Caenorhabditis elegans: one gene and its partners. The protein of the gene in region 3 purifies or fractionates together with the protein of the main gene of each other region. This does not show direct contact. Each region holds a gene or a part of one and is shown on either strand. Other genes may lie near its edges.

Region 1 (3,558 bases), on a different chromosome or scaffold from region 3:
CGCGGTTTTTTGCATGTCGATTTACGAAGAGTTTTGTACTAGACATGGACATACATGTGTGAGTATTTTTTTTCGCTCGGTTTTACTCATTTTTTGGGCAAAATTCCTGTTTTGTACCTATTTTTCAAAACGACAAAAAAAATATTTTTAAAAGTAATATTTTAAAAATATTTCGGAAAAAATTAAAAAAAAAAAAGAAAACATTTTTAAAATTAATATTACGGGACCCTACAATACTGAGAATGCGTATTGCGCAACATGTTTGACACGCAAAATATCTCGTAGCGAAAACTACAGTAATTCTTTAAATGACTACTGTAGCGCTATTGTCGATTTACGGGCTAGTCCGGTTTTTAAATTGAAACCTGTAAAACCAGAAAAAAATGACATGCATAAAACCGCGCCGCATACTTGCAAAACTGCTCCGCGTCAAGGGTCGATCATTATGGTTTGACATTAAGATTAGTCACTTCCTACCATTCTTTCTGAAATAGAACCAGCATTTGTATCTCTTTTTATGAGATTTTTTTATTCAGAACAAATATTTAACAATTAAGAAAAAAAGAGGAGAATCAACAACAAAAAGGCATCAATAAATTAACAAAAATGGACAATAAAAATACGGGTTTTGAAGATCTGAGTTCTCAAAACAATTAACTAGAGAGTACTGCAGTTACAGATCGGCCAGCCAATTTTTCATATAATCACATGATTGAGGAGAGATCACATATCCTGGTCGACAATCCTCGACAACTGGACAAATAGCACACGGAACCGACACTAATGGAGAAATACTGGAACGTGGTGGACATGCACGGATCTTTCCATCAGCTCTTCGTTCAATTGTTCCATCCAACACAGCGACTTCGAGAATTCTTTCTAAATCTTCCAATGATAGTGGAACATTCAATACTCGTTTTTCGGTGATGAATTGGGCTATCTGGAAATTTTTTTAAAATTGATTACGCATATTTTTTGCTAAAAAAATTGAAAAACATCAATTTAATTTATTTTCCGGTTAAAAAAATTCACATTTTCAATTTAGAGTTTAAAAAAAAATTTTTTTAGAGCTATCAATAAAAATCAAACCTCTTGAGGACGAATATAGCTGGCTTCTCTTTGCATTTGAATATTATTCGGATTTTCATCAATCGCATGCTTTCGTCTGCTGGCAGCATATGAACCACAAACACTGATCAATGTATTGATGAGTTCCGAATCGAGTTGTTGATCAGAATAGAATGTTCCACCAGTCAATGACATATCTGGTTCAATACTAAACAAAATATAGCACTTCCTCGTAGTTCCAACAGCTTTGATAGTCTTGATCAACTTTTTCGTTTCCAGACTTTTCAATGTTTTTCGAAGTTGAAGCTGGTTGAGTCCTGAACCTTCTCGAAGTTCTTTTATCCATATTCCACGCGTCTTCGATTCTTCGATAAGACTGTAAATCTGTAATGAAAAATGTCAGTTTTTCTTTCTTCCGGATGCAAGAAATACTCACCACTTGCTCCTCTTCTGTTCCCGCAATCTGTTCACTTGTGTTAACTTTCAACCGGAGCACACCGCCAGGCGCTTGTTGAATAGCCAATTTCTTTGAGCTCAAAAGGCTATTGATCGCAGTCTGACGAACAGTTTGTGGCAATCCAGGTGTCATACTTGTCAATGCATCCATATCAATTCCTTCGAGAGCCGCTTGAACGATCTGCATCACTTGCGATTCGCTTTCCGCCGCGCTTATAAGTTCTTCTTTGATGGAAGCCATGATTTTTATCCGCTGAAAATTAAAATATGCATTAGAAAAATAAGAAAAAACATAAAATTATTGAGAGAAAACATTTTATTCGGTGAATTTTTGTGAGAAAATAGTGAAACTGAAGGGAGAAATAATAACTGCAAATTGCGAGAGAAAAATGATTCGCAATAGAGCGCGGTCGCCACACGGGGCGGGGCGATGGCAAAATGAGATGAAAATGAAGACTGTGGCTAAAAGCATTAATACTGAAGATTATAAAATAATAAAAATAGATAAATGGATAGAAAAAATGTTTTTCTAAAAGCTTATATACATAAAAATTATAAATTTTGAGAATTTTTGTTGTTCGTGGTCGGTTTGGCAGCCGCATTCGAGTTACATGCCATTTTTCGAAAATCTGAAGGAAACAAGGTGTTTGGCTTTTTAGCAGCTGTATTTTAATGCATTGATCATTATAATCAGTGAAAATGAGAAGAGTTATATATTTAAAATATTATTTTGGCTTGGAAAGGACAATTTTTCAGATTACTGGAGAATTGTTAGTTTTAATCAAAAAAATGAAATCCAAAATTTTGTTAAACATATCATAACGTTTCTTTTATTACGAAAACACAAAATGAATGCCCAGTGCGCAACATATTTGACGCGCAGAATATCTCGTAGCGAAAACTACAGTAATTCTTTAAATGACTACTGTAGCGCTTATGTTGATTTACAGGCTCGATTTTCGAAATTAATTAAAATCATTTATTTATGGATAAGAATCATACGAAAAAAACGACGGAAAATGAGTATCGCTGTCACTTTTGGAAAATTAATTCATTTCGAAAATAGTGCCCGTAATTCGACAAAAGAGCTACAGTAGTCCTTTAAAGAATTACTGTAGTTTTCGCTACGAGATATTCTGCGCGTCAACTATGTTGCACAATACGCATTCTAAGAGGTTTGTGTTACCGTAATATTGCATATTGAGGTAAATAACTTCGCAGTTGTACTGACAAAAGCTTAAAATTTCTCGCTTTCGCTAAAAATATTCTCAACAAATCCCCCACACTTATCCATTTTCTAATAAGTTTCACAACAACAATTTCATGCTACTCGGCTCCTAGTATTAGAGACCCCGGCTGTCTCTCGCATATTCAATCGTCATCAATGGAAAAGAGGAGCATTCAATGAAGAAGCAGTCAGTAGGAGTAGCCAGAGCCTGCTAGCAGTTGCCTTTCAGGGAGGCGAACAACAAGAGGGAAAGAGAGTGACCAAAATGGCTCACCATCTGCCACACACCGGGTGTTTGTGAGATATCTGCTCAGTGCTCTGCGTCTCTAGTTTGATCCCATATTCGCAATGTGTTCTCCGTGTCATTCTCCTCCAACAAATTATATATCCCTCAACACAGAGCTCCTCTTATGCCTTTTCTCCGTCTTGTTTGGCTCATACTCCCTCATTTTGAATCTCGTGTCTTCCTATTTTGCAATTCTCTTCTCACTCCCATATTTCATACATCTCGAGAAAAAAAAAGGACAAATTCGGCAAATCGGCAAATTGTACATTTGCCGATTTACCGAATATCAGATTTGCCGGAAATGTTTAGAGGAGTTTTTCTATAAGACGAAAACACTTAAACTTGTGCCTTTATGTAATTTTTTATTTTTTGAAATTCTAAAATTTCCAAAAAAAAACAGATATATGCAAAATCACAATTTGCCGACGATTCTTGGCAATTTCACCATAATTTCCATCAAGTTGGAATCAACATGTTTTCTAACTAAAACCCTGAGATTTATTCTTGATAGCAGCTGCAA
Region 2 (6,433 bases), on a different chromosome or scaffold from region 3:
TTTGCCATTTTTCCTGAAATTTTAAATTCAGCAAAATTGCCGATTTGCCGGAAATTTCAATTCCGGCAATTTGCCGATTTGCCGGAAATTTTCAATTCCGGAAGTTTGCCGATTTGCCGGAAATTTTCAATTCCGGCAATTTGCCGATTTGCCAGAAATTTTCAATTCCGGCAATTTGCTGATTTGCCGGAAATTTTCAATTCCGGAAGTTTGCCGATTTGCCGGAAATTTTCAATTCCGGAAATTTGCCGATTTGTCGATTTGCCGGAAATTTTCAATAACGGCAATTTGTCAATTTACCGGATATTTCAATTCCGGCAAATTGCTGATTTTCCTGAAATTTTCAATTCCGGCAAATTGCCGATTTGCCGAAAATTTTCAATTCCTGATTTAAGATTTTAGCTAAAATTCGTCAAATTAAAGTAAAAAAAACCAAAAAAAAAAAACGTTTTTTTTTCAGATTTTCCCAGTACTTCACATTGAGCGCTGGGCTTTTGACGTTGAGCTCATCTTCCTTTGCGAAAGATGGACGGTCCCTGTGAAAGAAGTTTCAGTTCGATGGACTGAAATCGAAGGGTCTAAGATTACTCCAATTTGGTCTTGGCTTCAAATGGGCCGAGATCTTGTGCTCATTTGGTTCAGATATACGGTAAAATTGCAGTTTTTTAGGCCTTTTTTGAAGTGGTGTCAGGATGTCCCATCGCTCTACTGCACACGAAAATGGCGGGAAAATATTTTTTTTTTAATTTGTGACGTCACAGCGTATCTTGAATAATTTTCTTAATTTTAAGCGCCGATTTTTGTCAAACTTAAAAAAAAAATAAATAAATAATATCTTTCTCATTTTAATTTATAAAATTTGATATTTTACCAAAATTCTTAAAATTTAGTGGAAAAATTGAAGCAAAATACACAATAAAAATGAATAATTTCAATTGAAACGAATTTTTTTTTTCGAAAAACCATTTAAACCGTTCATTTACCAAGTTTCCGTGAATTTTTTAAAAATGATTTTCCAAATAAATTTTTGTTTAAATTGAAATTATTCATTTTTATTGTATTTTGCTTCAATTTCTCCACTAAATTTTAGAATTTTTGTAAAATATCAAATTTTATAAATTAAAATGAGCCAGTTTTTAAAAAAATTTCACGAAAATCGGCGCTTAAATTGAACAAAAGCAATTATTCAAAATGCGCTGTGTGACGTCACAAATTTTCAAAAAATATTTTCCCGCCATTTTCGTGTGCGGTAGAGCGACCTGACAATATTTTTGACATTAAAATTTTATTTTCAGATCGGAATTTGGACGGATGACCAGCCTCGCTAAATGCTCCACAAAAAATCGATACGAGATTTTCAAAAAATCTTGCCCAAAAATTTCCTTTTTCTTCTAGTAATATCTATGCTTTAATCACTTTTTTTCCCTGCTTTTTCCTGATTTTTTTTCCAATTTATGGCTGGTTGTAAATATCCATGATTCCTTGAAAATGTGATTCTATTCTTTTTTCTTTTCGCATTTTTATTATTTATTTATTTACTTGTTGGTTTTTCTTTTTTTTCTCTCTTGTTCTGGGGACTCTGGGTTTATTTTTAATGCTAAATTCAAAAAAATATCGATTTAAATGTTTTTTTCCATTTTTTTGTTTTTTTTTTCGTTTTCCCAGCGATTTTATATCTTTCCATAGAGTTTTCAGGCGAAAAAAATCAAAAAATTTCCAGGCAAAAATGGTCAAAAAAGCGGCGGCAACTAGCAAGCAGGCTACCTATCACAGTGATGAGATCGAGATGAAAGAGGAAGTTGTGCTCAATGTAGGATTTTTTGAATATTTCAAGGATGCAATCGCGCTCCATTGGGAAACGAGAGCGCTCCGCCCCCAAACGTTGGGTCTCGTTAGGAAATCAGGCGGCAAAAGCATTTTCCGTATTTTTTTAAAATTTCGTCCAGAAAAATTTTAAAAAATTCCAATTTTTTATTGAAAATCGTTATTTTTCCGAAAAAAATTGTTATACAAATTTACGAAAAAAGGCGGCGATTTATCAACTGCCGGAAATTAGTGAAAGATTACTTTTTTTCAAAAAAAATTGAAAAAATTTAAAATTGTGAGATAAACCAAGAAAAAATTAACTTTCGATTTTTTCAACTTTTTGGAAAAAAAAAACACAAACCAAAGAAAAAATGAACAAAAAAAAAGCGGATTGCGTGTATTTTTCACCACGCGTAACGTCGTTGTCGCGATGTCCTCCGGACCGAAGAGCAAGAAGCTAAAAACGCCCACGCTTGAACAGCAAATCGAAGATGGAGTCAATGCTTATATTCACTCGCAGCAGTTTGAGTTCAACTCTCCACCACGGGAAAATTTTTTTGCCAATTTTTTCGTCTCAAAAAAAAAAGGAAAAAAAAACCAAAAAACCGACATTTCTGGTCAATATTTTTTTTTGTTTTTTTTTTTTGAAGAAATTCGATTTTTTGCTTTTCGGCCGAAATTTTTATTTTTTTAAATTTTCCAAAAATTCTTCTTCAATTCCAGACCTACGACGAATGCACCGATTATGTCGAATACGACGATACAAAACAATTCGATATCAACGAGTATTGCGATCAAATCCAAGTGGCAATGGTCAATGAATCCGACGATGGAATGACATTGGAATTTGATATTACTCGCATTGAAGCTCCAATTGCAAATGCTCTTCGCCGTGTGCTCATCGCCGAAGTGCCAACGATGGCTCTCGAGAAGATTTATCTCTATCAGAATACTTCTGTAATTCAAGATGAAGTACTCTGCCATCGTTTGGGTCTTCTGCCGCTTCGTGTGGATCCACGTGGATTTCAGTTTCCAAAGGAAAAAGTCGTTGGAATCAATGAGAAGGGAGTGGATTGTGACGAGGAGCCCGAGGGAGATCCCGCGAAAAATTTGATCTTCAAGATTAATGTTTCGTGTACGAAGAATCGAAATGCGGTGCCGACGGCTACCGATCCGAAGCAGCTTTATCACAATAGCTCGGTCTACTCACGTGCTTTTGAATGGGTACCGATTGCTGATCAGAAGACGCAATTCACCGAAGAAGCCCATCCACGTATGGTTTCTGATGATATTCTCGTTGCCAAGCTTCGTCCTGGACAGGAAATTGAAGCCAGTTGCCATGCGGTCAAGGGAATCGGACGGGATCATGCAAAGTTCTCACCGGTTGCTACTGCGTCCTATAGGTGTGAATTTTGAAGCTGCTGAAATATTTTCTTTTGATTTTTGCGGTTTTCCGGAAAATTGAAAATTTTTCGTTTTTCGATTTTCTCGGAAAAAGTGAAAAATTGGGGGGAAAAAAATTATAATTCATATAATATATTTTCGGTTTTACGGGACCCCAAATTCTGAGAATGCGTATTACACAAAATTTTTGACGCGCAAAATATCTCGTAGCGAAAACTACAGTAATTCTTTAAATGACTACTGTAGCTTTTAAAGAGTTACTGTAGTTTTCGCTACGAGATATTTTGGGGAAGTTAAATAATTTTTGTACATCTACCTATATTCAGTATATTTAGACTGTTTTCTGTAATTTTGTGGAAAAAAAAGTTCGAAAATTTCAAGCCAGAGGTGAATTTTTTTGTCGACAAATTTGACAAATTGCCAATTTTTTTTTATTTTCGGCAATTTTCATTTTCGGCGATTTGCCGGAAATTTTCATTTTCGGCGATTTGCTGGAAATTTTCATTTTCAGCAATTTGCCGATTTGTCGATTTGCCGGAAATTTTCATTTTCGGCGATTTGCTGGAAATTTTCATTTTCAGCAATTTGCCGATTTGTCGATTTGCCGGAAATTTTCATTTTCGGCGATTTGCTGGAAATTTTCATTTTCAGCAATTTGCCGATTTGTCGATTTGCCGGAAATTTTCTTTTTCGGCAATTTGCCAGTTTGACGATTTGCCGGAAACTTCGATTTCGGTTAATTGCCGGTTTACCGATTTGCCGGAATTTTCATTTTCTGCAATTTGCCGGTTTACCGATTTGCCGGAATTTTCATTTTTGACAAATTGACGATTTGCCGGTTTGCCGGAAATTTTCATAGAATTTGCCTACTTTTCAAAATACATGTAGGAACATTTATAGGATGCGTACAATTTAGCCGATTGAAATTGAAAATCTGAAATTTCCAAAAAAAATGTGCAAAAACACAATTTGCCGGTTTGCCGGTTTGCCAATTTGACCTTCAAATTCTTCCAATTTTTCAAAAAATTTCTTTTCATTCCAGACTGCTTCCAACGATCCGCTTGAACGCCGAAATTTCGGGTGAAGCTGCCGAACGTCTCAAATCAGTATTCAGCGAGGGAGTTATTGCTATCGAGAAGAAAGGAGGTAGATCATAAATCAATTTTTAGGAAACACACCAATTTTTTTAAAATTTCAGCCAAACGAATTGCTGTTGTCAAGGATGCTCGCAAGGATACGTGCAGTCGTAACGTGTTCCGCCACGAAGATCTGTCGAAAGTTGTTCAATTGGGAAAGAACAAACAGCATTTCATTTGTTAGTGGCAGGGCTGAATTCGAAAAAAAAAACTGAAATTCATGAATTTTTCGCATTTTTTTGGTTTTTTTTCCAAAAAAAAATACACGAAAAGTTGTCGAAAAACAAACCCCAATTTTGTTAAAGTTTGAAACCTTATTTTGAAAATTTTAAATATTTTTGCCAAATTTTAACTCTTTTTTTTAATTTTGAGAGTGGTTTTTTTGGAAAATGTATAAGTAATTTTTTTTGGAGCCGGAGTTTTTATATATTTTTTTTCGCTTTTTTTTTCGAAAAAAAAAGAATTTTCGCCAGAAACATGGTACAGACGTGCCGTTTTTCGATTTTTTTTTTGAAAAAATTTTTAAAACGAAAAGTTGAAAAATTGGAAATTGGGAAAAGAAAATTTTTGAGTTTTCGAACTTAAAAAAAACGAAAAAATTTTTAAAAAAAATGTTCAGAAAATTAAAATTGAGCAGAAACTGGGGAAAATTCGAAAAATTCTGAAAAATTCACAAAAAAAACCCATTTTTTCGAACTTTTTTCCGATAAAATTACAAAAATCCTAAATTTTCTACTTTTCAAGGGCCCGAATTTTTGTGGAAAATTAGTAAAAATCGGTTAAAATTAACCATTAAATATGATTTTTTCTAATGGGGTTATTCAAGTAATGTAGCAATTTTTTTTTTTTTTCGCAAAAATTTTTTTACACTTTTTAATTTTCCGACACTACTTGAATAACCCCATAAATCAATTTTATCGAAACTGATGAGAAAAAAAAATTTAACGAAAAAAAAACACAAAATTTCGTCGTCAGAAATTTTTCGATTTTTCCCAAGTTTTCTAATTTTTTTGGTTGAGAAAGTCGATTTTTTTTAAATATAAAAAAAAAACCGAAAAAAACGTAGGAAAAAAGAGGGAAAAACTATAAACTTATTTAAAAATAAATTATATTTCAATGAGAAAAATGAAAATTTCTTCAAAAATACAAAAAAAAACCAAAAAACCATTTAAAAAAATTGCCAAAATTTCAAATTTCTTTTTTTTTAAACTGAAAAAAAAACACACAAAAAATTTTTCACAATTTTTACCGGCAAATTCGGCAAATTGGCAATTTGCCGGTTTGCCGATTTGCCGGAAATTTTGAATTCCGGCAATTTTAGTTTTTTTTTCAGTCAGTGTAGAGTCGACTGGAGCTCTGAAATCGTCTGAATTGGTGGTTGAAGCCTGTAAAGTCATGGAAATCAAGTGTCGTTCTCTTCGCAAACAAATCGAGGCTCTTATTCAATAATCCCCGTTTTTTTGAAATTTTGTTACTATTTTTTTATTCGTTATCCTTTTTTTTTGTTGTTGTTTGACTACCCCTCAAGTTGTTACACTGTTCCGTCACTTTCTTTTTTCTTAATTTGAATGAATTTTCGTGGCTTTTTTACCTTCAAATATCTCCTAGTTGGCCAAATGGTTGAAATTTCCATTTTTTATTTGTTTTTTTTGTAGTTTTTTAACAGGTTCATAGAAAAATCATTCATTTTTTCGGTTTTTTCAGAAAAAAATTATTAAAAAATGGAAAAACTCCAAAATTTTGAGCTATTTTCTCAAAATATTGGAAAACGAATTCTTTTCGATTTTCAGAAAAATTAGAAACAAAACTTTAAAAATCATCAATTTTTGTCTATCCTGATGAAAAAATATAATTTTCTTCAAAAAATTAAAAAAAAAAACCAAAATTTGAATAAAAAATTGTAAAACTAACATTTTCGGTTTTCCGGAAAATCGAAAAAGCGAAAAATCTTTTCTTTGCAGAAAAAAAGAAAAATCAATTTTGTTCTAAAAAATATCCTTTTTCGAAATACTGGAAAAACGGGGCAGTTTTCGAATTTTTTTCAGAAAATTGAAAAAAAAACGATTGTTTTTAGAAAACTAGCAAAA
Region 3 (3,128 bases):
GGAACTTTCATTGATTTTTCATAATTCTTCGATGATGAACAAAAATCGTGAAAAAAACAACAAAAAAATTTCAAATCACAGTACTCATTGAAGCCCTTTTCACATTTAACAAAAATATTTATGTCGTGTCGAGACCGGGTACCGTACTTTTGAAACAAAAATCTCAAAATACCGCGTCTGGATAATATGGAAAACATTTATATTTTTTAATTTCTAAATATCGGTTATTTCAATTTTAAAGGCATATTTTTGCATTCCTAGGCTTGAAATATAAGTATTTAAACCCTATAAATTCGCGCTGCAACTTTTAAAATTTGAAAAAGCGCGCATTTCAAGATAGCGTGGCAAGACCCAACTTCTAAAATGCGTGCGCCTTTGACAATCACGTTTTCACTTTCTTGTTCAGTCGCTACTGGCACCTTCGTCGCCGCTATTTATCGAGAATTAGTTTCTCAAATTTATTTTTTTATTTTCAAAAGATTTTTAAATGGTTTAATCATGTGCAATCGATATTTTTTCCACGTAAAAAGAAGTATAATTACTCTCTTCTTAATTTTTTGAAATTTCGTAACCATCGATTTATTGGTGCGTGTTCCTGAAAAATACACCACGTTTTTGCTTAATTTCATTCAAATTAATCGATAATTCTATATTTATTTCTAGATAGATGGAGCAATCCTCCCTACTTCTGAAGAAACAGCTGGCAGGTGAGTTGGGATTAAACGTGATCTATGATCAAAACTAACTTTTTTCTGTTTCCAGACATGCGCAGAGTTCCAGTCGACGGATTCTCGGCAGGTCTCGTCGATGACAATGACATCTACAAATGGGAAGTCCTGGTGATCGGACCACCAGATACTCTCTAGTAAGTTGTTTGTTTGTGAAAATTGTAATTAGTTTTTTCTTGCAGCGAGGGAGGTTTCTTCAAGGCTATTCTCGACTTTCCAAGGGATTACCCACAAAAACCACCAAAGATGAAGTTCATTTCGGAAATTTGGCATCCAAACAGTTAGTATTTACTGAAACAAGTCGATTTTACACATAAAATATTTCAGTTGACAAGGAAGGTAACGTGTGCATCTCGATTCTTCACGATCCCGGAGATGATAAGTGGGGTTACGAACGTCCGGAAGAGCGTTGGCTGCCTGTGCATACTGTCGAGACGATCCTTCTTTCTGTCATCTCAATGCTCACGGATCCTAACTTTGAATCTCCTGCAAACGTTGATGCAGCGGTTCGTCTAAACAATGAAAAATAACCGAAATATTTTAATTTTTTCAGAAAATGCAACGTGAAAACTACGCCGAGTTCAAAAAGAAAGTTGCTCAATGTGTTCGCAGAAGTCAAGAAGAATGATTTGAACATTGCATCAACAGAGAAGAAGCATTAATTTAACTCGTCGTTCATATGAAACTATCCACTTTGATCTTCTTTTTCTTACTCATTCACCCCATTTTTTGACACCACGTGTTTCTAATTTCTTTCCTCATAAGCGTTGGACTCGTTACTTTTTATTCCCCTTAACATTTTTTTGAACGCAAAACCTGTGAATTTGCTTCGTAATTTTTTTTTGTCTAGTGGTGGTGCTCTTTTCCTTTTGTTAACATCCAAACTATAGTTACAACTATGCAACTCGTTTTTTTTCTGAGAGCGGTACCACATGTTTATTTGTTTGGTATGAATTCACAATCCTCGTGATGCTACTTCTTATCTTTTATGAGAAAATAAAATTTTTTTTTCACTAAATACAATCAATTTCATCTCTGATAAATATGTCATTCGTTCGAAATACATTAGACGGAAAATAACGAAAACCGTTCCGCGTGCCTCGCAATTGCAAAAACTGCGTGCGAGCGTTGCAAAAAGAGGCGGGGCTTCATTTGGAAAATATTTAAAAATTATTTTTTTAATTTGATCTGTTTCAGTTATTAAAAGTGATTTTCAGCTCGAAATGGGAAAGAAAAATGAAAAGATAGTAGAAGAAGCTGAAAAGGTAGAAGCAGAAACAATGGAAGTCGACGAACAACCACAGGAAACCCCACAAGTGGACGACGAAGAAGATTTGAACGTACCTTCAAAAAAGAAAATGGAAATTGTAAGTTTTCTACACTATTCCTCTAAAAAAATGTTCTGTTTTACAGCTGGACCCAAAAAGTTTCGAACAAGATCCATCTAATTTGACGCTTATCATGTACGAGGAAGATCACACTATTGGAAATTCAATCAAGCACATTTTGAGCAGAATGTATGTTTTACGAACGAATCGATCAGATGTAATTGTTGTTTAATTTCAGGGATGAAGTTGAATTTTGTGGTTACAACGTTCCACATCCTCTGGAAGACAAGATTTTGTTCAGAGTGCAGACAAAGGATGGTATTAATGCTCTGGAAGTTCTCGCGAAGGCATTCGAAAGTGTTGAACAAATTTTTTCCACGATTAGAGGGAAATTTGAAGAGTCTTATGAGCAAAGCCAATCGTAAAATTGCTATTCATTTTGTCATTATTTGTTATCCATTTTGTTGTTTTGATGTTTTTGTTTGACTTCACCCATTTCAATCTGAAATGAAAAATTTGTATTGGCAAAGATAATTATTTGTGATTCACGTTTTTATGTTTTATTCAAAATATGCCATATTTTTGTTTGCATCAAAGATTTTCTCAATCCAAATCTCCAGATGTCCGGTACGGGTGCCTTGATGACTGTCCACGTTGGACAGTGCGGAAATCAGCTTGCTCAAGCCTTCTGGAAATCGATGGTCGACGAACATGGAATCAATGAGTAGGGAATAAATTTGAGGCACCGACAATTTCAATTAGGCAAAATTCGATATACCACAGTCCGAAATGTGAAAACTATTGCAATTTTTATATTTCAATACTGAAATGCTGCAATTGTGAATTGTTCTCGTGAATCGACATGATTGAAAACAAAATATGAATTATTTTACTTTTGTTTGAGATGAAACAAACATTTTTGCTAAGTTAAATAATTTAAGACGCAATTTATTCAAGGTCATAATTCAGCCTCATAATTTTGATAAATATAACAATTTTTTTCGTTTTCAGACGTGGACAAACAACTCACGAAGACGATATGAATGATAAGAAAGATCTATTGTTCTACCAG

Evidence for each region. The genes of interacting proteins can lie anywhere in the genome.
Region 1: the proteins of rpac-19 (region 3) and W09C3.4 fractionate together in Caenorhabditis elegans (co-fractionation; one large-scale study listed by BioGRID). This does not show direct contact.
Region 2: the proteins of rpac-19 (region 3) and rpac-40 fractionate together in Caenorhabditis elegans (co-fractionation; one large-scale study listed by BioGRID). This does not show direct contact.

Annotation. Positions count from the first base shown.
Region 1 is NC_003279.8:4,702,829-4,706,386, reverse strand, and holds W09C3.4 (putative DNA-directed RNA polymerase III subunit RPC6), read right to left. Parts: upstream 1,784-3,558; 5' UTR 1,766-1,783; coding exon 1,505-1,765; intron 1,453-1,504; coding exon 1,090-1,452; intron 941-1,089; coding exon 674-940; 3' UTR 502-673; downstream 1-501. UniProt on the Caenorhabditis elegans protein: DNA-dependent RNA polymerase catalyzes the transcription of DNA into RNA using the four ribonucleoside triphosphates as substrates. Specific peripheric component of RNA polymerase III which synthesizes small RNAs, such as 5S rRNA and tRNAs.
Region 2 is NC_003283.11:4,197,765-4,204,197, forward strand, and holds rpac-40 (DNA-directed RNA polymerases I and III subunit RPAC1), read left to right. Parts: upstream 1-1,720; 5' UTR 1,721-1,726; coding exon 1,727-1,810; intron 1,811-2,529; coding exon 2,530-3,209; intron 3,210-4,252; coding exon 4,253-4,356; intron 4,357-4,408; coding exon 4,409-4,525; intron 4,526-5,679; coding exon 5,680-5,795; 3' UTR 5,796-5,932; downstream 5,933-6,433. Other genes in the region: algn-5 (dolichyl-phosphate beta-glucosyltransferase), read left to right, coding at 461-649, 1,296-1,328.
Region 3 is NC_003281.10:9,628,703-9,631,830, reverse strand, and holds rpac-19 (putative DNA-directed RNA polymerases I and III subunit RPAC2), read left to right. Parts: upstream 1-1,945; 5' UTR 1,946-1,951; coding exon 1,952-2,095; intron 2,096-2,141; coding exon 2,142-2,245; intron 2,246-2,294; coding exon 2,295-2,481; 3' UTR 2,482-2,585; downstream 2,586-3,128. Other genes in the region: ubc-7 (putative ubiquitin-conjugating enzyme E2 7), read left to right, coding at 668-707, 763-865, 911-1,008, 1,056-1,234, 1,282-1,356; tbg-1 (Tubulin gamma chain), read left to right, coding at 2,677-2,780, 3,068-3,128. UniProt on the Caenorhabditis elegans protein: DNA-dependent RNA polymerase catalyzes the transcription of DNA into RNA using the four ribonucleoside triphosphates as substrates.